4 linked regions of the Arabidopsis thaliana genome follow. The protein of the gene in region 4 interacts with the protein of the main gene of each other region in a biochemical or structural test. Each region holds a gene or a part of one and is shown on either strand. Other genes may lie near its edges. The genes, in order: HDA15, PHYB, HY5 and PIF3.

Evidence for each region.
Region 1: the proteins of PIF3 (region 4) and HDA15 form a complex in vitro, tested with the Arabidopsis thaliana proteins (one study listed by BioGRID).
Region 2: the proteins of PIF3 (region 4) and PHYB form a complex in vitro, tested with the Arabidopsis thaliana proteins (12 studies listed by BioGRID, with this or other methods).
Region 3: the proteins of PIF3 (region 4) and HY5 form a complex in vitro, tested with the Arabidopsis thaliana proteins (2 studies listed by BioGRID).

The regions. Positions count from the first base shown.
Region 1 is NC_003074.8:6,359,618-6,366,151, reverse strand, and holds HDA15 (histone deacetylase 15), read right to left. Parts: upstream 4,977-6,534; 5' UTR 4,858-4,976; intron 4,600-4,857; 5' UTR 4,548-4,599; coding exon 4,413-4,547; intron 4,319-4,412; coding exon 4,133-4,318; intron 4,006-4,132; coding exon 3,903-4,005; intron 3,787-3,902; coding exon 3,722-3,786; intron 3,583-3,721; coding exon 3,507-3,582; intron 3,188-3,506; coding exon 3,123-3,187; intron 3,021-3,122; coding exon 2,965-3,020; intron 2,801-2,964; coding exon 2,677-2,800; intron 2,567-2,676; coding exon 2,441-2,566; intron 2,325-2,440; coding exon 2,274-2,324; intron 2,161-2,273; coding exon 2,092-2,160; intron 1,874-2,091; coding exon 1,765-1,873; intron 1,622-1,764; coding exon 1,542-1,621; intron 1,440-1,541; coding exon 1,357-1,439; coding exon of another isoform or gene 1,329-1,356; exon of another isoform or gene 1,276-1,328; coding exon 1,230-1,275; exon of another isoform or gene 1,149-1,229; coding exon 970-1,148; coding exon of another isoform or gene 966-969; exon of another isoform or gene 895-965; coding exon 753-894; 3' UTR 537-752; and 1 more. Other genes in the region: RTFL20 (ROTUNDIFOLIA like 20), read right to left, coding at 5,856-6,017. UniProt on the Arabidopsis thaliana protein: Responsible for the deacetylation of lysine residues on the N-terminal part of the core histones (H2A, H2B, H3 and H4).
Region 2 is NC_003071.7:8,138,181-8,145,003, forward strand, and holds PHYB (phytochrome B), read left to right. Parts: upstream 1-1,582; 5' UTR 1,583-1,898; coding exon 1,899-4,062; intron 4,063-4,150; coding exon 4,151-4,958; intron 4,959-5,048; coding exon 5,049-5,339; coding exon of another isoform or gene 5,340-5,469; exon of another isoform or gene 5,470-5,715; coding exon 5,716-5,971; 3' UTR 5,972-6,281; downstream 6,282-6,823. Other genes in the region: XTH21 (xyloglucan endotransglucosylase/hydrolase 21), read left to right, coding at 6,767-6,823. UniProt on the Arabidopsis thaliana protein: Regulatory photoreceptor which exists in two forms that are reversibly interconvertible by light: the Pr form that absorbs maximally in the red region of the spectrum and the Pfr form that absorbs maximally in the far-red region.
Region 3 is NC_003076.8:3,592,824-3,596,729, reverse strand, and holds HY5 (Basic-leucine zipper (bZIP) transcription factor family protein), read left to right. Parts: upstream 1-1,726; 5' UTR 1,727-1,929; coding exon 1,930-2,026; intron 2,027-2,256; coding exon 2,257-2,440; intron 2,441-2,550; coding exon 2,551-2,812; 3' UTR 2,813-2,935; intron 2,936-3,078; coding exon of another isoform or gene 3,079-3,147; 3' UTR 3,148-3,369; downstream 3,370-3,906. Other genes in the region: OCP3 (overexpressor of cationic peroxidase 3), read left to right, coding at 81-458, 636-953, 1,045-1,173.
Region 4 is NC_003070.9:3,074,047-3,080,155, reverse strand, and holds PIF3 (phytochrome interacting factor 3), read right to left. Parts: upstream 4,389-6,109; 5' UTR 4,304-4,388; intron 3,756-4,303; exon of another isoform or gene 3,698-3,755; 5' UTR 2,941-3,697; coding exon 2,870-2,940; intron 2,779-2,869; coding exon 1,899-2,778; intron 1,811-1,898; coding exon 1,703-1,810; intron 1,612-1,702; coding exon 1,546-1,611; intron 1,314-1,545; coding exon 1,248-1,313; intron 1,173-1,247; coding exon 789-1,172; 3' UTR 502-788; downstream 1-501.

The sequences.
Region 1 (6,534 bases), on a different chromosome or scaffold from region 4:
ACATACAAGGTTTTTTAGATTCAAATTCTCTTAGAAAACAAACATATGATTAAATAAAATGTGGTTGATTTACAAAAATTCAGCTAGTTCATAATCGAAATTAACCGATAGCCCCTCTATCTACCTAAAATCAGAAAGAATTAATCTGAATCGAAGCGATTATTCGAAAGTTCTTATTTAATAGAGCTGGACTAATATTCTTAGCCGAACAGTGCCAAAATTTTGGTAATTAGATTTGGTTCAAAATACCGACAAAACTGTTTTGTTTGGTTTTGGAAGATTGAACATATCCGTATTTAGAAGCTCTTTTAGTTTTTCATAAATTTCTAAATATTCTTAAATTCTTCTACTTTTTTCTTTTTTGTAAATCAAATTTCCTAGCCGTATCAAACTGTGTCAAATATACTGAAATTGATTGAAATATACCAAAACCAAAAAGAATATACCGGAATTATTGGAAAATGAGGATTTTGGACACCGAGAAATGAACAAGAAATTTGTTTTTGGTTTGGTTCGACATCAATAATTTTAAGATAAACCAAACCGAACTATAAATTTGGTTAAAGTAGGAATTCGTTTATCCAAACCGATTGCCTAGCTTAAGAGGTCTGATGAGGATGGTTGGTAAGCAGGTTAAAAGGGTTCTTTCTATAAAACCCTACCAAATGTAAGTGATAAAGATTGTTCAGAGCTCCCTAATTGCAATAAATTCCCCCAGATCAGTTAGGGTTACAAGTAAGTGTAGACAATTCCTACGACGGATTAGGAAGAATGCTTTCTAAAATCACTTTGATCTTGAAATCATACGAGCCGAGAGAAAGTTGTACAAAAGCTTCTTTCGTCCCCATTTCCACCATGTCGGAACCCGAACAACCTTCCTTTTCATCTGATTTTCTGTAAAACCAGTGAGATTTTATTAGGAGAAAGAAGGATGAAGAATGAAATAGTTTTTTTTTTGGGAAGCATCACTCACTTTTGTTTTCGATCAGACGTGCTTCCAACTCTGAGAGTAATTTGGAGTAGCTGATAGCAAGTGATGGCCAGAACTCCAGTTGGATATTCAGTACATCAAGAACAGTTTGCAGGCCGGCTACTGAAGGCGTGGTGGCGATGGGCAACTCGTTCTCCGGATTTTCACCCAGAAGCACCTTTATAGATTAAGCGGGATCATGAATCTCCATAACTATATGCAGATTTTAAAGGATATCAAGTTTGAAATAGAGACTAACCTTGATCACTGCTGTTGCAGAAGCAGATATGGAGCGAAGATTGTAGCTGCAAATGAAAACAGGAGATTATTCAAAAGCTGCTCCTTACAAACCAAGAGGCTACTCCAAAAAACTGCAAAACACATACCCGCCCTCGAGAATAACTAGCATTTTCCCACCACACAGATCACCCAACATCTGTGTCATTCGAGAATAGCCAGCCGGAGTCACCTGAAAAAAGGAGTAGAACAGAACATCTATCCTCTGTTGATATCCACAAAACAATACACTGATTCCAGAAGTGGTAAATTACAGCTCGAATATGAAGCTTACATCACAGCATCCTAGTGGGTCTCCTCTAGCCGCATCAAATCCCGCAGATATGATGACAAAATCTGGAGAAAATGCAGAAGCTGCAAGAGAAGGTTCCAGTTAAAATTAGACTGAGTGCACATTCAAAAGTGAGCTAAATGTATTTGGTCCACTTCCTGAGCATATTAGTCATCAATTAAGCCAAAACGTTTATCAAATGGGGAAAAGTAGAACGACTCTGTACCTATGGGGAGAACCACATGTTGAAACGCAAAGATATAGTCTTTATCCCCAACTCCACCGCAACTCCATGGAACATTTACACAATAACCTTCCCCACCATTAGAACCAACCTGCACCCATAATTAACATTAGCAAACTATTGTTCTGCCGCCTAGAGAAAATTCAAATTTTGGAAACAAGGCAGAAATTAGAAAATAATCCCAAAATTTAAGACATAAATCATAATGCAAACCAAACACACAAATAAGGTATATGCATATATATACCAACAACTAAATCTACTCATGAATGCTGGATGAGACAATGTAAAACAGAAAAGCATAGGTACCTCATCAGCAGCTCCAGTACCGGGATAGAAGTTTCCTCCCTCATGTCTGTGCAAGGATATGTACAATACCTATGCAATGACTCCCAGTAATAAGTTCAAACAAGGTCAACTCACAAAAATAATTTACTGCATCCAACACTCCAAAATTGATGTGCAGACATGCATAGATTTGGGCAGCTTACAGATTTGTTTTGTTCGAATATCTCTTGGGTTCCGTTGCCATGATGGACATCCTGCAACGGTAGATATAACATTGATATGAGCCAAACCACACAATGCAGAGTACAACGAATTAAAAAAGTTTGAAGATCTACAAAATCACCCAGTTTAGAGTTATCAGTAACATTACCCAGTCCACAATCAGCACCTTCTTTGCCCCTGCTGCTTGTGCTACTAATGCAGCAACGGCTGCATTATTGTGAAGGCAAAACCCCATAGCATGCCTGACGCCAGCATGATGACCGGGAGGTCTAACCTGATACAATCAGAGATTTTTTTTTTTCAAACTAATATGGTGTAATTTCAATTTAAAGCAATTGTGTAGTTGCATCTTTAAATTTAAAAATTTTGGTGAATTAGACATACCAAAGCAAAACCATTTTTTACACGGCCAGTGAAAATATCTGTAGCTAGATCAGCGCACAAACCTGCTGCAAGTCTAGCAGCACGTGCTGAATACTCATTAGCATATGTGTCAGAGGTGAAGTAGCTGCCAGACAATGGTAAAAGAACGGGATCAAGAGCAAAAAGAGATAAATGAGGAGCAGCGAAGGTAAAGGAAATTTCAATTCAAGTTTGAACAGTCAGATTAACAAGCAAGGATATGCACGGTGAACGCAAAAAAAAAAGTAACAAATGGTTTAAAATTCAAACCTATAGAGAAGCTGGCTTGTAGTATCAACAGCATCAACATGCTCTGAAGTGTGGACCTCAAAATTGACATATACAAACCAGTTATGAAATTGCTTGTAAAAGTACTGCAATGAACATAATATTAGAATTGTCTCTAAGACAGTTATGTAGCAGCTCACCATCTGGAGTTCTTGTTTCGTGATTTCCCTTGCATTGATAGGCAAGCATCTTCCAGGAAAAACACCTGCAAAAAAATTCAAACGTGGTGAGTACCAAAATTACTCCCAACAGTATGATACTGTAAAATGAAACACATGATATGATATATGGGATCAAGTCTCAGAGAAGGTAGACAAGGACGCTAGAAGCTTCTTAATTGAAGAAGTTATGTTCTGATCTTTTCCTTTTAGAATTAGAATTTTATTATTTTCCTTTTTAGTTTTAACTTACCTCGGCTGCAAGAGATCTATATAATGATCTCCAAATCTTAATAATAATCAGCTTCCAAACATTAGTCTTCTTCTCAAGAGAGGCTAGGTTTAAAGGAAGTAAACGCAACATACCAGCTGTGGCAAGACTAGCAGCTATAGCTCGAAGACGATCAGGTCTCTCTGGATGTGGTTGTGCCTTCACTTCAAACTTTTTAAGCATGCCATCAGCACATATTAAATAGAAAAACTTGCACGAAGAAAAGCTTTGGAGATGATAATGTAGAGATGTCAACAGATACTAGAGGTTTCTCAGGAAAACATAACACATAACAGTAACAAGATCATACTTCTGAGTGTAGCAACATTCTCTCGTCGAACCCAACAGCTGTCGAGCTGGTTGCAGATGAGCTTCCTAATATCAAGTTAAAAGAAAAGTGAACATGCTTACAGTTACTTAAATAGCATGGAACTGAGACTAACAATATTTATAAAGACATTTTCAGAGGAAGCAAGGGAAGTAATTCCTACCTCCATATTTCTCCTCGACTTCAATGAGACCAGTGTCTTTAAAAAAGGGAGACGCTAAATATCCATGCCTCAAAATGCCAGATTCCTTGTGCTCACCGCATATCTACGTCAAGGAATCAACTTTACTAATACATAACCAATGTCCAATGCGCATTGCTCAGACGTACGTTTGTCACTTTGAAATCATAAAAAGTAGTAGCCAAGCAAGAAAAAGTAAATAAAAAACGTACACAACAGTGGACCATATCACCAGGGTTCGACATAGTGCAATTGACACAACACCATTTTACAAACTCCATAGGCGCCTGCACAGGTTCCCAATCACAATCATCATCCTCATCATCGTCATCATTGAGTAATGCATCAGCACCGTAAATATCTTCAAACGTCATTTCTCTAGAAACCCTAGCTCTTTTCTGCATAAGACACAACAATGACCAATATCACCAAAAGCAGAACCAACCAAATCTCTGACAATACATTAAAAGGAAGCCATGGTTTTTAGCTTACCGCTGAAACTCCAGGAGCTACATTTATATCTCCATTGCTACACTCTTCTCCCGAACAAGGAACAGCGATATCTCCACCGTTCACATGTCTTCTCTTTGAACCCTCACAAGACCTCTCGATAGTTTCTACAACCATTGTTACCTCAGTAGTCACTCAAAACTACTAACCAGCTGAAAATAAATCTCCGCTGTGCCAAAAGAGAAACAAAGAAAAACCCAATTTGAGAAATTTTAAAAATCAAAAAGTTTCATATACGAAGAGCTAAAATCAAAATCGAAGAAAATGTAAAGAACTCCACACACAGCTACAACAAATAACTTTACGAAGAACCCAACTTTTCTTCGAGTATTATCGAAATCGATCCTCGATCCAGAACTCAGGAATTGTTTTTTTTTCTCTATGGAAACTGAATAAAAATATCAACGACGGTCTCAAAATATCATACCTGAAGAAAACTTCCGGCGAAACGATGAACAGAGAAGGCTGCGTCCGTCGCGTTTAAAGGAGCGCGACGCTACGATAGCACAACAGAGCAGAAATGAGAGAAACGACGACGGCGACAACGAAGATGACGACGTTCAGACTTGAAAGAGTAAAAGATTATTTGGGCTGAAGATGAAGACCCAATAACACTATAAGCCCATTACCAAATTTGAGTCAAACTATTTATTTTTATTTCCTTTTGCTTGGAATTTTTCATTAATGTTCAAGTATTGAAAGAGCAAAGTACGACTGAATCTTACTTCACAAAGCCAATTTAGGTTTGTTGTCTTCTCGAAATGGATTACAAAAGTTACCATTTTTTAAAGGGAATGAGACTTTAGTTGTTATGTCATTGAATTTTTGTTTGGTAAATAACCTAACTGATAACTTCATAATATTTATAGTGAAAAATGTTTGAATCATCAGGTAATTAAACGTCACACTACAGATTGTAGAATGACTAATGGTTAAACTAACTGATAATGACCAGCTAACATAATCAAAATACGCCCAAGCGCATTAACACATGTGAGACTGATATTTGTTTCCCTTACCTTTTTCTTTTACCTTAACCTAATTCTAACTGTAAGTACTGAATCCAATTTCTTTGTTATATAATACATGTTTGTGTGCATGCATCTCCATATAGTACTCAAAAGCATCGTCTTTGTCTTTTCTCTAAGAATTTATTATTCATACATTAATATTAATTCTACAAACATGGGACTATGGGAGATAGTATTCCGTTATATATATAGTTCACAAGAAGAATATTGAGTGATATATTTCCATATATAACAACGACGACGACAACAAGAACACACCCACATAAAATGAGAGATGAACACCGAAATGTTAAAGATGTAAATATGTTGAGCTCTCTCTCCTTTTTATACCTCTATCATCATCTATACCTATACATGATAACATAAATATGTATGAAAAAATGTGTGTTGACTATCACTTGTGTGAACAAAGAAGCATAGTAATACATTTTCCAATAATGTAGAACCTTCCTTTCTTCTTTTTCAGAAACTCTCCAACTCCTTTTGGTGAAGAAGGCTTGTTCTTCTTCTTCTCCCAATTCTTCACTGCTTCCTCCTTTGTGTACTTCTCCCTCATTGTTTAAAGTGTGTTTATAAAACAAACTTTTTTGTTTTTCCTTATTATCAGGGATTCAGGGTGATTGTGTGATGATTGTGTGATGTTTAAATGGAAGTGAAGATTCATCATATTATATATATTGGAGTGAGAGAGAAAGAGATAAGGAGAAAGTATTCCCTACCATTGATTCGGGACCCTTCAACGAAACAACCCAAAAATAAAGGCCACTTTGTGAAGTGTGACCGACTAGCTTCCCATTATGGTTGAAAATATTTGATGTATTGTTTTCTTGTCTCCTTTCAGTTCAAAGATTCATCATCGGTAGAGATTGATTTATTCACTTTGATTATTGGAATATTATGTTAGAACATACGGTATTGCAGACCGTCCATATCTCATCTTAATTTCTTTGAATTTAAATTGAACATGCAAACTAACGTTATGGTTAACTGCTAAATAAATACATAAAATGCAAATTCCAAGGAGCTTTCGGGTTTGTTTTGAAATACATGTTTAAAAACTTCTGCATGACTAT
Region 2 (6,823 bases), on a different chromosome or scaffold from region 4:
AAATTGGGCTTGGGCTTTAAAGTATTACCCAAAGGCTATTAAAGTCGTTTTTTCCAATTTGGGCTCCTGATTTATTAGTATGGGAGGGCTTAGTTTTGGGCTTTAAAGTATGCCCCAATGCCTAATAATGTCTAGCTAGTTCTTCGTTATACTAAAGAACGAATTTTGGAAATTCTTGAATTACGATTGTACCCTTATATTAATTTCATCTTTTGTCTTATTCTTATTTATGCAAAAGTTATGCAAAAGTTTTAAGAAATTAGCAGCCAAGCCTAAAGAATCATTGAGAGTTTATAAGGGTGATTTGGTAATTGAGTAGTTTATTAGCTAATTTGATTTCAGTGGCACGTGGTAAATTACTGGTGGTTTAAAACTATTGTACGTGGACGATTCTTAGCCAACGAACTAGTACACTCTAGTGCGAACAGGTACATGATTAAATTCGTGGACATCCAATCATATCTCGTCCAAGATAAGACCAAAACATATGAGGTCATTACTCACTAATAAACATTTAAACTTTTGTTTTGTCAACGAATAGTGTGTTTTTCTTTTGTCATTCCAATTTTTTTCTGTTTTCTTTTCACTATTCACTTTTGGTCCATAATATTTTATGGGTATATAAGATAATCGTTTTTGTCTTCATACATGGTAACATGGATGTTTATATATGTAATAGTGTTAAAAAGAAAAAGTGGTCGGTTATACTTAACTTATTATGATAGAGCTTTGAAAACAAACAACACGAGATGGAGAAATTAGTCATTCAACAAAAGAAAAGGACGAACGCAGTGACTTAACATGAAACTGTGAGCGGCCCAAAATCATTTATGTAATGGACCCTTAACTTTTCATGCACACGATTTTTCTCATTTATATGTTTTTCTGCTCTCTTTTTTTCCTCTTTATCATTACTTTAATTTATTTTATGTTCTTTTTTCGAAGCACCATAATTGTATGCTTTCACCAAATAATCCAAATTTAGAATCATTAATATGTCAAAAAAGAATTGCATATATTCAATAAAACGTAATGCTAAGTAGTACAATGCATGTATTATACAAAATGTAATGATATAGATCCAACGTATATATCAAAGTGGACCAAAATATATCTTATGTATTAGACGAGTTTACTATGCAAAATTTATGATTCTATTCCGCATGGAGCGTGCTAATACTACTTCGAACCCCTTTGAGACCAATATGTGATTCTATATTCTATCTAGTACAAATTATGAGAAGTATATACGTACGATGAGAGTATAAAACATTTCAATATTTGTATAGAGAGGACACCACTTGGTTGACTTGACCCACGATAAGATATTGAAGAAACCAAACTTGTATAGTACGAATTCGAAATCGTAATTGATGATGCGATTCGACAAGTCCAGGGGCTCCCTCCCACGCGCAATGGGCCCAGCAACCACGTGTGGCCACTAGAGAGAATAAACCATTAGCCCACGTGATCTTGGGCCCAATCAATCTCTCCCTCACATTAAACGACAAAACAAAAGCTCTTCTGGGTTAAATTGATAAATATCAAAACTTTAAAGGTAATTTGCTAAAATCGCCACACAAAAAAAGTCGCAGAAAATATATGAGGAAACAAAAAGCGAAGACGACAAAAAAAAAAAAAACTCTGATTTTTTTTTGTTATCTCTCTCTATCTGAGAGGCACACATTTTGCTTCGTCTTCTTCAATTTATTTTATTGGTTTCTCCACTTATCTCCGATCTCAATTCTCCCCATTTTCTTCTTCCTCAAGTTCAAAATTCTTGAGAATTTAGCTCTACCAGAATTCGTCTCCGATAACTAGTGGATGATGATTCACCCTAAATCCTTCCTTGTCTCAAGGTAATTCTGAGAAATTTCTCAAATTCAAAATCAAACGGCATGGTTTCCGGAGTCGGGGGTAGTGGCGGTGGCCGTGGCGGTGGCCGTGGCGGAGAAGAAGAACCGTCGTCAAGTCACACTCCTAATAACCGAAGAGGAGGAGAACAAGCTCAATCGTCGGGAACGAAATCTCTCAGACCAAGAAGCAACACTGAATCAATGAGCAAAGCAATTCAACAGTACACCGTCGACGCAAGACTCCACGCCGTTTTCGAACAATCCGGCGAATCAGGGAAATCATTCGACTACTCACAATCACTCAAAACGACGACGTACGGTTCCTCTGTACCTGAGCAACAGATCACAGCTTATCTCTCTCGAATCCAGCGAGGTGGTTACATTCAGCCTTTCGGATGTATGATCGCCGTCGATGAATCCAGTTTCCGGATCATCGGTTACAGTGAAAACGCCAGAGAAATGTTAGGGATTATGCCTCAATCTGTTCCTACTCTTGAGAAACCTGAGATTCTAGCTATGGGAACTGATGTGAGATCTTTGTTCACTTCTTCGAGCTCGATTCTACTCGAGCGTGCTTTCGTTGCTCGAGAGATTACCTTGTTAAATCCGGTTTGGATCCATTCCAAGAATACTGGTAAACCGTTTTACGCCATTCTTCATAGGATTGATGTTGGTGTTGTTATTGATTTAGAGCCAGCTAGAACTGAAGATCCTGCGCTTTCTATTGCTGGTGCTGTTCAATCGCAGAAACTCGCGGTTCGTGCGATTTCTCAGTTACAGGCTCTTCCTGGTGGAGATATTAAGCTTTTGTGTGACACTGTCGTGGAAAGTGTGAGGGACTTGACTGGTTATGATCGTGTTATGGTTTATAAGTTTCATGAAGATGAGCATGGAGAAGTTGTAGCTGAGAGTAAACGAGATGATTTAGAGCCTTATATTGGACTGCATTATCCTGCTACTGATATTCCTCAAGCGTCAAGGTTCTTGTTTAAGCAGAACCGTGTCCGAATGATAGTAGATTGCAATGCCACACCTGTTCTTGTGGTCCAGGACGATAGGCTAACTCAGTCTATGTGCTTGGTTGGTTCTACTCTTAGGGCTCCTCATGGTTGTCACTCTCAGTATATGGCTAACATGGGATCTATTGCGTCTTTAGCAATGGCGGTTATAATCAATGGAAATGAAGATGATGGGAGCAATGTAGCTAGTGGAAGAAGCTCGATGAGGCTTTGGGGTTTGGTTGTTTGCCATCACACTTCTTCTCGCTGCATACCGTTTCCGCTAAGGTATGCTTGTGAGTTTTTGATGCAGGCTTTCGGTTTACAGTTAAACATGGAATTGCAGTTAGCTTTGCAAATGTCAGAGAAACGCGTTTTGAGAACGCAGACACTGTTATGTGATATGCTTCTGCGTGACTCGCCTGCTGGAATTGTTACACAGAGTCCCAGTATCATGGACTTAGTGAAATGTGACGGTGCAGCATTTCTTTACCACGGGAAGTATTACCCGTTGGGTGTTGCTCCTAGTGAAGTTCAGATAAAAGATGTTGTGGAGTGGTTGCTTGCGAATCATGCGGATTCAACCGGATTAAGCACTGATAGTTTAGGCGATGCGGGGTATCCCGGTGCAGCTGCGTTAGGGGATGCTGTGTGCGGTATGGCAGTTGCATATATCACAAAAAGAGACTTTCTTTTTTGGTTTCGATCTCACACTGCGAAAGAAATCAAATGGGGAGGCGCTAAGCATCATCCGGAGGATAAAGATGATGGGCAACGAATGCATCCTCGTTCGTCCTTTCAGGCTTTTCTTGAAGTTGTTAAGAGCCGGAGTCAGCCATGGGAAACTGCGGAAATGGATGCGATTCACTCGCTCCAGCTTATTCTGAGAGACTCTTTTAAAGAATCTGAGGCGGCTATGAACTCTAAAGTTGTGGATGGTGTGGTTCAGCCATGTAGGGATATGGCGGGGGAACAGGGGATTGATGAGTTAGGTGCAGTTGCAAGAGAGATGGTTAGGCTCATTGAGACTGCAACTGTTCCTATATTCGCTGTGGATGCCGGAGGCTGCATCAATGGATGGAACGCTAAGATTGCAGAGTTGACAGGTCTCTCAGTTGAAGAAGCTATGGGGAAGTCTCTGGTTTCTGATTTAATATACAAAGAGAATGAAGCAACTGTCAATAAGCTTCTTTCTCGTGCTTTGAGAGGTATATTCAGTTCTTCAGCTATGTTGTATCTGCGGTGTATATACCAATTCGCGGGTATTTGATTATTTTGTTGCATTTGGCAATGCAGGGGACGAGGAAAAGAATGTGGAGGTTAAGCTGAAAACTTTCAGCCCCGAACTACAAGGGAAAGCAGTTTTTGTGGTTGTGAATGCTTGTTCCAGCAAGGACTACTTGAACAACATTGTCGGCGTTTGTTTTGTTGGACAAGACGTTACTAGTCAGAAAATCGTAATGGATAAGTTCATCAACATACAAGGAGATTACAAGGCTATTGTACATAGCCCAAACCCTCTAATCCCGCCAATTTTTGCTGCTGACGAGAACACGTGCTGCCTGGAATGGAACATGGCGATGGAAAAGCTTACGGGTTGGTCTCGCAGTGAAGTGATTGGGAAAATGATTGTCGGGGAAGTGTTTGGGAGCTGTTGCATGCTAAAGGGTCCTGATGCTTTAACCAAGTTCATGATTGTATTGCATAATGCGATTGGTGGCCAAGATACGGATAAGTTCCCTTTCCCATTCTTTGACCGCAATGGGAAGTTTGTTCAGGCTCTATTGACTGCAAACAAGCGGGTTAGCCTCGAGGGAAAGGTTATTGGGGCTTTCTGTTTCTTGCAAATCCCGAGCCCTGAGCTGCAGCAAGCTTTAGCAGTCCAACGGAGGCAGGACACAGAGTGTTTCACGAAGGCAAAAGAGTTGGCTTATATTTGTCAGGTGATAAAGAATCCTTTGAGCGGTATGCGTTTCGCAAACTCATTGTTGGAGGCCACAGACTTGAACGAGGACCAGAAGCAGTTACTTGAAACAAGTGTTTCTTGCGAGAAACAGATCTCAAGGATCGTCGGGGACATGGATCTTGAAAGCATTGAAGACGGGTGAGTATAGTTAGAATTTATCTAGAAGCTAGTTTTGCTTACTTCACAAAATGTGACCAAATCCCAAATTTTGTTTTTTTCATTGATCAGTTCATTTGTGCTAAAGAGGGAAGAGTTTTTCCTTGGAAGTGTCATAAACGCGATTGTAAGTCAAGCGATGTTCTTATTAAGGGACAGAGGTCTTCAGCTGATCCGTGACATTCCCGAAGAGATCAAATCAATAGAGGTTTTTGGAGACCAGATAAGGATTCAACAGCTCCTGGCTGAGTTTCTGCTGAGTATAATCCGGTATGCACCATCTCAAGAGTGGGTGGAGATCCATTTAAGCCAACTTTCAAAGCAAATGGCTGATGGATTCGCCGCCATCCGCACAGAATTCAGGTACATTTCATTGTTCCCGCTGTTGTCTCCACATATCCATAACCAAAATTATGCAATCCGGTTTTTTTGGTTCCTTATTTTGTACATAAAGAAAATGAATTTGGTTTGGTTAATTACGAATTTGATTTAGGCGTTTAAAGAATTTGAGGTTTTAACCAATTCACTATTTGTTTTGGTTATTGTTTAGTTGGAACCTAGATTAGTTTGATTTTTGTATTCGGTTTAGTCGACTTGGGAACTTTTAGACACATCCATAGGCCTAGAATTAGCAGTCAAGGAATGTAATGTTTTCAAATTGATGAAAACCAGCTCAAAAGTGTAAAACTTGGGTTTCATGTGTTGGTGTCTTTGTTATGTCTTTATTCGTTGTTTGCAGAATGGCGTGTCCAGGTGAAGGTCTGCCTCCAGAGCTAGTCCGAGACATGTTCCATAGCAGCAGGTGGACAAGCCCTGAAGGTTTAGGTCTAAGCGTATGTCGAAAGATTTTAAAGCTAATGAACGGTGAGGTTCAATACATCCGAGAATCAGAACGGTCCTATTTCCTCATCATTCTGGAACTCCCTGTACCTCGAAAGCGACCATTGTCAACTGCTAGTGGAAGTGGTGACATGATGCTGATGATGCCATATTAGTCACACTTCAGTTGGTATGAGAGTTTGTATCATTGTATGAGTGTTTGTGTGTCTAACGACGTCGGAGGAGGATAGAAAGTTTTTTTTTTGTTTCCGGTGAGATTAGTAGAGAAGAGGGAGATTATTTGCGTTCAGCTCAGCTCGCCGGAAAAAAAACGTAACAGTAGTTGTAGAGAATTTCAAGACTTTTGTTTGTGCTGTGTAAATTGACAACTCCGAGAGAAACAAAACAATGAGATAAGAAGAGAGCATATTAATCGATGACCAATCCTTTTAATTTGTTACTCGTTACATCAATTCAAAATTATTATTTGATTGTTAACCATTTATAAATCATATTATATCCAATTAGTCTGTCTACGCAATCAAGAGGTAAAGGCCAATCACATTAATTTTAAAAGATTTATGATGAAATGGTACCGTCCAAAAAGTTGAAATTTTACAAACTCCACTATATATATAAAAAGTGAGATGTTTAAATTAGGCTGGCTAAGCTTAGGATGTAACACATTAACAATAGTTAATTTAATGTTTATGATGTATCGCACTATAGTTTTGATGTGTATGCTCTCCAGGCTGTTTCGTTTTTCACATTACCCACACTAAACTCACCTTTTTTCTTAAAGAAAATTAAAGTAAAGCTCAAAGACTGAAATATTAACAATATATAACTAATCATTAAGGAATCAAAACTCCATTATATATGCTCTATAAATACTCACCAATCAATAGCCTTCTAAATGTCTCAAACCCAATTCAAACCCTTAAACCCACCTAAAACCTTCAAAACTTATAATGGTTTCTAGTACACTTTTGGTTATGTCAATATCTCTCTTTCTTGGTTTAAGCATA
Region 3 (3,906 bases), on a different chromosome or scaffold from region 4:
GTTAGAATTGGTGAATCCTCGAATTAGACTTTGGCTCTTTTTGATTTTGTATCAGCCTTTGATTTCATGGTTTGTGGCAGAAAAGTTTGGATGGAGCTGATAATGGAGGAGGTGAGGAGGAGGAGGATCCATTTGAGGCATTGTTTAATCTTTTAGAAGAAGATTTGAAGAATGATAACTCGGATGATGAGGAGATAAGTGAGGAAGAGTTAGAGGCATTAGCCGATGAGTTAGCTCGAGCATTGGGTGTTGGTGACGATGTTGATGACATCGACTTGTTTGGTTCAGTCACTGGTGATGTTGATGTTGATGTTGATAATGATGATGATGATAATGATGATGATGATAATGATGATGATGATGATGACAGCGAAGAAGATGAAAGACCGACTAAGCTGAAGAATTGGCAGCTTAAAAGACTGGCTTATGCATTGAAAGCTGGGCGTCGTAAAACTAGTGTAAGTTTTAGTTCAGTGTTGAAGTGATGTTGAATACATTGTGTAAAGCATAGTGCTTGAGTTAGTGTCTGCTTTGGAGATTTTGCTTACGAATTGTTTAAGAGTTGACAAAGAACAAGTAGTTCTCTGGTTTTCAAATGCATAATTGATAACGGATGGTTTTGTTGTGATCTGTAGATTAAAAATCTGGCAGCTGAGGTTTGTCTTGACAGGGCTTATGTTCTTGAATTGCTTCGTGACCCGCCTCCAAAGCTGCTAATGCTAAGTGCTACACTACCAGATGAAAAACCGCCAGTAGCAGCACCTGAGAACTCCTCACCTGATCCAAGTCCTGTGGAATCATTATCAGCTGAAGATGTTGTGGTCGAACCTAAGGAAAAAGTAAAAGATGAAGCAGTTCATGTGATGCAACAGAGATGGTCTGCTCAGAAAAGAGTGAAGAAAGCTCACATTGAAACGCTAGAGAAAGTTTACAGAAGATCAAAACGACCCACTGTAAGGATTCTCCTTTTACATTTGAATCAATTTCTATGTTACTTGAATGCTCTATCTCACATATGATCATGTTTGATGATGCTGTGAATAGAATGCTGTGGTTAGCAGCATTGTTCAAGTGACCAATCTTCCAAGGAAGCGAGTTTTGAAGTGGTTCGAAGATAAAAGAGCAGAAGACGGAGTTCCAGATAAGCGAGCTCCATATCAAGCTCCGGTTTGATCTAATGTTAACGTTGAGATGGCAATGATTTGTATACTTGATTCTCAGAAACTCATCAACATTGTCGTCAAGGACAAGTTTTTTTGGTGATACGAGGAGTGTTTATAGTAGTAGATTCTGTCCAATGGTGTGGCTGGATATGTTGGACTATGAAATTTTAGGATATCTTGTATTCAGTTTTTAGTTATTTCCTTGCTGAGATTGTGTCTTGTAGAAAACCGTTTCAACTTTGTTTGGTTTATGGCGGCTATAAAGTTTAATTTTAATGCATGACAAAAACAAATCACCAAAAATAAAATAAATTACTTTCACGACACTTTTGAAAGCACTGCCCTAGGCGTGGGCCATGTGACAGAATGAAAGAACTCAGACCAAACTTTTCTGTCCAAGGACAGGAATGGGGCCCACCCAATTAGCTCCCCTATCCATTATTCACCGTAAGATGCTAACCAGATCTAACGGCTAAAATCCACCCACGTTCCAATCTCAATTGCCTTTGGATCCTTGTATTTCCTCAAGGCTCACCTTTCTCCACGATTCACTCTCGATATCCGTTCGATTCTTCAGAGATCTGACGGCGGTAGCCAGAGTAATCTATTCCTTCCCAAAATGTCTCGCAATTAGATTCTTTCCAAGTTCTTCTGTAAATCCCAAGTCCCGCTCTTTTCCTCTTTATCCTTTTCACCAGCTTCGCTACTAAGACAACAAATCTTTCCCTCTCTCTCTCGCCTGATCGATCTTCAAAGAGTAAGAAAAATGCAGGAACAAGCGACTAGCTCTTTAGCTGCAAGCTCTTTACCATCAAGCAGCGAGAGGTCATCAAGCTCTGCTCCACATTTGGAGATCAAAGAAGGTAAACAAAAATTGTCGATTGTTTTATTTTCATATCTTCTCCCAACGAGTGATCTCATTGATTTTCATTCTCATGCATTGGATATCTAGTAAATTCACATCTAGATTTTGTATCACCATTGATTCACATCTAGATTCACAACTTTTAGTCTCCCCCAGAAGATCTGCAATTTTTTATTGTATTTAAAAAGTTTGAAACTTTTCGTCTAAAGTCTCTTTTATGTTTTAAAGGAATTGAAAGCGATGAGGAGATACGGCGAGTGCCGGAGTTTGGAGGAGAAGCTGTCGGAAAAGAAACTTCCGGTAGAGAATCTGGATCGGCGACCGGTCAGGAGCGGACACAGGCGACTGTCGGAGAAAGTCAAAGGAAGCGAGGGAGGACACCGGCGGAGAAAGAGAACAAGCGGCTGAAGAGGTGTCTTTTTCTCTATTCATTGAATTTACATTTTTACCCTTTATATGGAAGGTGATTATGTTAAATAACGGTTGCGTGATGGGGTTGTTTGGTAATTTTGTGGTGAAAAGGTTGTTGAGGAACAGAGTTTCAGCTCAGCAAGCAAGAGAGAGGAAAAAGGCTTACTTGAGCGAGTTGGAAAACAGAGTGAAAGACTTGGAGAACAAAAACTCTGAACTTGAAGAGCGACTCTCTACTCTTCAGAACGAGAACCAGATGCTTAGACATGTACGTTTTGTCGATCTTACTGTTGACTTAACCTGCAACGTCAATGCTTTTGCCATTTGTTTTTTGATATATCACAGTACTGGTTTATCACATTTACGAGTCTAGGATTGACCAATAATTAGTTTAGTTAGTTAAAAGGATCTAAGAAGCTAACTTAAGCTTTAGATTAATTCTCAGAAGGCATGTAGGTTCTTGAAATGGTCATTCACTCGCATATTCTCTCAAAAGGCATGTAAATTCTTCAATGGTTCTTGAAATGCTCACTCATTTTGTTCTATATGAATGGAGAAGATGAGATTGCAAAGTTGGATCTCTATGTGTGTGTGTGGTAATAAAGTCTTTTGAGTTGTTATGTTTTTTATGTGGTGTAGATTCTGAAGAACACAACAGGAAACAAGAGAGGAGGTGGTGGTGGTTCTAATGCTGATGCAAGCCTTTGATCTCCTTCTTCTTCTTGTGTTATATTTTTGTGGATAAAATTTACAGAGAATTGTATCAATAATTATCATGTTAAAATTATATGGGATGTGAGAGCTAATATTGCAATTGTAGACCAAGTTCTCTTATTGTAGTCTTAGATTTCTCTTAATTGAAACATAATGTTGTTTTATAACAAAAATAAGCTAATTTTTGTTCTATGATATGACATTGTGACACTGTAGTAGAAAGGTTGCGTTTTCGATTCCCGCAGTTCAAAGTCCCAAACAAATTCTGGGATAGTGGAATCTTTACTCTTTTTTTTTTCCTTTTTGCCCCTATCCCTCCCGATTTCTTACAGACAAGTCGCCATGGATTTGTAAACGAAGATGCCGTTGATCATATTATGCGGAAATCGGACAAAGAGGGTAGGGTCGATCTTTTACAGCCAAAGCTTGTCAAGCTCGAGAGATGAGCAATCATGTAAGTGTTTTCTTACACTTTTGCTTTCCTTTTTCTAAAATCCATGGAATCCAGACATTGTTTTCTGTCACTGCTACCTTGAACTTGCTGCTCCCTTCTTAGAATCGGGTTGCCACAACCGAATTTCATGGACAAAATCGTACATTTCTTTACCTGTTGTATGCTTTCTGATTCTTTGTTTTCTATTTTAGATTTTTCGTGGATCTCATCTTCATCTATTGCTAGTTGCTAGTGTACTATGGATTGTTTGACATTATTTCTCATGCTTTTGAGGATACTCAGATTCTATCAATGTTAAC
Region 4 (6,109 bases):
GCATCTACGAGAAGTTGACAACGTTTTGTGAACATAAAACAAAGTAACAAACTTCCTAAAGAATTGAGGAAGAAATTTTTTACTTTCGACAAAACTCCCAATCGATACAATCATGGACATATATATAGCTTCCAGCATCCGAGAAACAAATCAGGAGCTCACATTTGCCCTCTTCCAAACTATGGTTCTCTAGGCTCTAGCTCAACTCCTCCGATCGTTGACCTAACCCTAACCATCGATTCCCTTTCTTTTTGTTAAAGAAAACGTAACAGTCATGCGTGAGCGAATCACTTACTACGTATAACATAAACTACATATCAAGCTAAGTGATGCGCTCAAACACCGTGTATCATGTAACTTATATACACCCTATAGGTTCCAACAAAAAAAAAAAAAAAAAAAAACTTCCAATAATTTCAATTTTCGCGTGGGTATATATTCAGCTTCACTAGTTCAATAGTCCTGGCCCAAAAAAAGAAAAAAAAGGAAATCGAAAGAAAATGTCATAATTAAGTTATTTAACAAAATGGGCTGAGAAGCCCATCACGCTTGTTTAACCAGGTCCATCTATATAGTGAACCCCACGCTACATTAAAAAGGGAACAAAACCTTTGAAAATATTAAAAACATTTTTTAATTCAAAACAAGAAACAGAACAGAACCCACCAATAAGCACAAAGCTCTTCACTGTTATAACGAACACAAATTAATTTTGTTTAGGATTATAAAATAGATTTGTTTGAATGCTACAAATAAACAATACATCAGTTCATAAGTTTGTATTTATGTCACGACGATCCACAAAACTGATCAGAAGACCCCTGTTTTCTCTTTATTGGTTTCAAGTTACTGTTGTTATTCGTCGTTGTTTGATCTTTAGAACCAGATAAATCTCTAGTCGAGCCATTGCCAATCGTCGAAGAACCGGCAAAGATACCACCACCAGAGACACGTGGAATACCCATCGCCACTGGTTGTTGTTGCATCCCCGAGACTTGGAACTGTGGTCCGTGGTTAACCGATGAACCACCACGGCTCAAATCAGGCAAGCCCATTGCATAAGGCATTCCCATACCCATTGCCATTGCAGCAGCTGCTGCCGGGTAATGCCCCATACCCGGTGGGAACATAACCGCCGGTGGCAGATAGTAACCAGACGCCATTGACATGATCTGTTGGCGATTATTGTGTTTAGATTATTAGTTTGCACGATTTTTATCGACTCTAGAGAGTAATGAGAGTGTTACCTGCACTTGAAGTTGGAGTGACTTGAGATACTCGATGGCTTCATCTAGCATCGAAGCTTTGTCCACCTTTAAACCATATAAATGTTACAAAAGCTGATTAAATACGAAAATTCTCGGCTTGAACAATCTTGCTTACAATATGGTTTCAATTGTTTTTCCGGTTTAATAAATACGGAAACCAATCAAAAACCTTTAGCAATTCGTTCTAAGATGCAAGTTTTAGTTTATTTGGCATTGCTCCTTATCTTTCAAACAAAAATGAATCATGAATGGTATTTGTAAAGGAGAAGAAGCTGACCTTGTTACAGTTTGGAATGAGTTCTTGCAGGGCACGCATCTTCTCGTTGATCCTATCACGCCGTCTCTGAAAATTGAGGACAGTAAGTTACCAAATATAGCAATCTTTTGTGAGTTTGAGAATGGACAAAAACCCTTTAGGGGCTTCACTCACTCACCCTTTCAGACAGATTATGCACTTCTGCAGAGCGGCTTCTCTTTGAACCCAAACCCGTTCGAGATGGACCTGCTTCCTTTCTTCCATCTCCTGATTCTTCTTCCACATCCTGCTCAACAATATTCAATAAAAAAACTGAAGAAAACAACAAAGAAACGAAATTGTAATGTGCATAAAATGACATGAGTTTAACTCACTTCACTATGACAGTCAATGTCTTGAATATTCGAATGCTTTCTCTTTAAAGAAAGTGAAGGACTTTCGGATGGGCCATCGAGACTATTACCCGAGCCAACAGAAGAACATACAACTGCTTTTTCACTCTCTTGGTCTTTTCTACATGAGTCCTCTGATATTAGGCAAGCCTTTTGGTTATCTTTAGGCGTAGCAGAAGCAACAGACTCGTTAAGAACCTTATCTTCAGAGTCTTTAGCTCCAAGAACTCTGGTCTGAAACACATTTGGCGGGCTTTGAGGACTCTTTTCTTTAGTGTCATGAAGGTTATTATTAGTAGTCTTCGCAAAAGTTGCAGGGCGTAAGAAATGTGAAAAGTTGACCAAACTAGGCTTGTTACTAGTAATTAGTGGTTCCTGCGTCTGAGTAAACCGATCCGGATTGGTTTGTTGGCTAGGAAGATCTCTAGCTCTATCACTTCCATACAGAGAATGCGATTGGAAACCGTTATACTGCGACGAAGAAGCAGCAGGAGCTGATTCATTGCCATCCTTTCTTCTCTGAAACAACGGGAAAGCAGTTTGGTTTACCGCCATATCACTCTCTTGCTCGTTGACAGTAACAGGAGACGACACATCACGCAAGAAATCAGAGCAATATCCATCAAGGGAGGGATGATGATTCAACCATGGAACAAAGTCATCGTCTTGACTCAAACCCGTCATTAGTGATGGCACTGACATAGGGATCTCGTCCACCATAGTCGTCTTTGAGCCATTTCCAATCTCTCTAGCTCTAGAAGAGTTTGCTTGTGGTGGAGGAATGTTCCTCGATCTACTTGACTGACTTTGAGTTGATATCTGACCATTTTCCCACACCAGCTCCACAACTTCATCTACAGGTCTGTTATTTTTCACACACAACAAAAAAACACATGAATTTGATGAACTTGAAACAAGGCAGACTTAAAGAGAGACAAGTGAATGGGACTCACGGAGAAGGGTTCCTGTCTTGAGCAGATTCAAGCTTAGCTTTGGTGAGCCTGAAAAGCTCAAACAGAGGCATGGTGTTGCGTTTTACAGAAACAATCTTTTACGAAGTCTTGATCCTAAAAAGGTGAATTCATAAAATAGACGAATTAGGCCAAGAAAAACTTGCCAGAAACAAAAATTGTACACTTTGTAATGCTTAAATTAGAAAACTTTTCAGTTCCCAAATTAGAAACTGGGAAATAAAGAAATAGAAAAGAAATCAATGTCTCAATCATCAATATGCAATATAAAAAAAGCAGAGATTTTCACTTAGTTTAATGGCAACATGATTAGTCAAATCAAAACCAATTGTTTAATCACACTGAAGAACGATTCAAAACAGCGCACTCAAGACCTAATTAACCATCTCTTAAGAAAACCAAAACAAAAAGATCAAAACTTTGATCTTCTTGTCTGAATAAAGCTATCATCGTAGCTGACCTGAGAAAAAGGGTACTGAAGCAATCGAAGTCAGCGAAGAGAGAAAGAGAGAGTGAGAACCTCAAAGTATTAAAGTGGCATCAATCCAAATGCAGAGAACAGAGGAGAAAAAGTCGGCGAATTGGAGTAGTCCTGAGAAAGTAGGCGGAGAGAGAAGGAGATGGAGACAAATCGACGCACAAGACGGACGCAGAGAGAGAAGAGAGGGGACCAAATCGTCTGTAACTGAGGATTTTGATTTTTTGTTTTCACAGTCTCTGAGACTCCGTTTCTCTCGAACATTCAACCTTTTAGCGTCGCCCGAATCATTAGCTCTACTCTTTACCTTTCTCTCTATTTTTCTTTTCTCCCTATATTTATAAACACATAATTAAAGAGAAATTGCTTCATATAATCAAATATTAATTATGTCAATGATTATATATAGTGGATTATATATGTTGCACTAAACATTGCAACAATTTGTTAAAACACACACCAAATACAATTCTACCATGTTTGTTTGTTTTTTTTTGCAAATAAAATGATGAATTTTTGCATACAAATAGTCGATCGTATGATTACTTTGATAAAAATTAAAGACAATGATAATTGCGTATGTATTGTTTTATCAAATAGTGTTCATTCTCTTATTTTAATAGATGGTCAATTCTCTAATATACTAACAAATCAGAAATACTATCTATAGAACCATCTCACTGAGATCTTTGTGATTAAACAAAGTATTGATTACTTTTTTGGGCATGTTGTAGGTATCGAGACAAGTTTAATAATTATCGTAAACAAGTACTAGTTGTTGTATTAGTAGTGGTTTTAGGCTATTAGTAGAAATAATTAATGTTTAATTAGATGTACTATATATAAATAAATTACGGTATTATACAATCCTTCAATTGATATGGTAACTGCTTTCATAAGATATTGTTATTAAACGAGAAAATTAAAGCAAAAGGGACCTAGAGAAGAGAGTTGGAGCATGGTGACCAAATTGCTTCTCACCGACCTCTGCACACTTCGTCTGTCTCTGTTACATGATACAGGTCCTTCGCATTATTACAATTAATTCATGGTGTGTCTATGAATAATTTAATACACTTACAAATATGAAAATAATCATATACTAGAATATGTTATCTTATCTTAAAGTGACATGGGCCTGTGATACACTAAAGTTGTGTGTGAAGAGATGTGTTATCATAAAGGAACACTGCCAAAAAAGCATCACACTCCAAGTGGGGTTGAGCAACCTTGTCTCTCTTTATCTATCTTAATTATTAAAGGTTTGACTTCTCTAATCATTACTATTTTTCTTAAGTCTTTTTTAGTCTTTACGATACTAAATTACTAATCATCCTCAAATTTGGGGACTCACTCAGCAAGTTCTATTAACTGATGAAAACCAATCATTTGCGCTATAATAATTGAGATTTTTTTTAATCATGGGATATAGTATGTGGTATAGTGGTTCCAAACTCTTAGATTAGAGCATATTATCTTTAAATCTAATTTGTTCCTTTCTATAAGTAAAAAATAAATAAAACCATCTAGAATATCAGTCGAGTTTGTTCACGAACGTTGCATCTTCTGGTTTATCTCTCGTTATAGCTCGGTTGATGATGAAATGTCAATTAAATCGCCATGCAAATTAGATTCTAAAATACGTAACAACCCATTGTATACTATAAACTTTCCAAGTGGATAATTTGAGTACATTTGCATGGACCATTATTGATTTCATCACTGTATTTTATGGCCATCTCTTGTTCAGAAAATAATTATAAACAAATTTATTATAAAATCAAACCGAGTAAATAAATAAGTAGATATATATATCAAAGAAAGAAGAAAACTCGGAATGGAAGTGATCCTACTATATTATTTGGGAAGTACATTTGAAATATAATCTTCTTTTTTGTAAGTAATTATATAGGTATGCCATTAGAAATAAAATTTTAAAGAGTAAATTAATTCATTTCTTTAAAAATTAAAGAGTCAAATACTAATTTAATTAATTAAATTTAACTCAAAAACGAAATACATTATTAATTTCCAGAAAAGTAACCAATTAAAATCAACAAATTAGATTTGATATCTAAATTATCATATTAATTTTTAAAATGTAACCTTATTTTTTGTAAGTAATTACATACGTATGCCATTAGAAATAAAATTTTAAAGAGTAAATTAATTCATTTCTTTAAAAATTAAAAAGTCAAATACTAATTTAATTAATTAAATTTAACTCAAAAACGAAATACATTATTAATTTCCAAAAAAGTAACCAATTAAAATCAACAAATTAGATTTGATATCAATATTATCATATTAATTTTTTATTAATTATTATAATTCACCTCTCATCTTTATATGATTCTATTTTTGCGAAAAAATAATATCATCGTTATAAAAAAATAATTAGAGTTTTTTCGCATATGCCACAATTTGAATTTTTAAAAACGAATATAAATTGTTCAGTACATGAAAAAAATACTATAACGGGTCAAAAGTAGATTTAAGAAAAAAAATTACTGAGTACTGTGTCATAATTTGAATATTTATATTCAATTTCATACATATTATTTTAAAATTTATAATCTTATATACTACAATAATTAATAACATATTAGATTTTTTAATGTGTATGATGTGATTCAATTTTTAATACAAGCTGAAAAATCCTACAATTGACGGGTTTAAATCAATATTAATACAAGATGGTATACTACATGTGAAACTCTAAAATTAACAATCAAAATACAAGT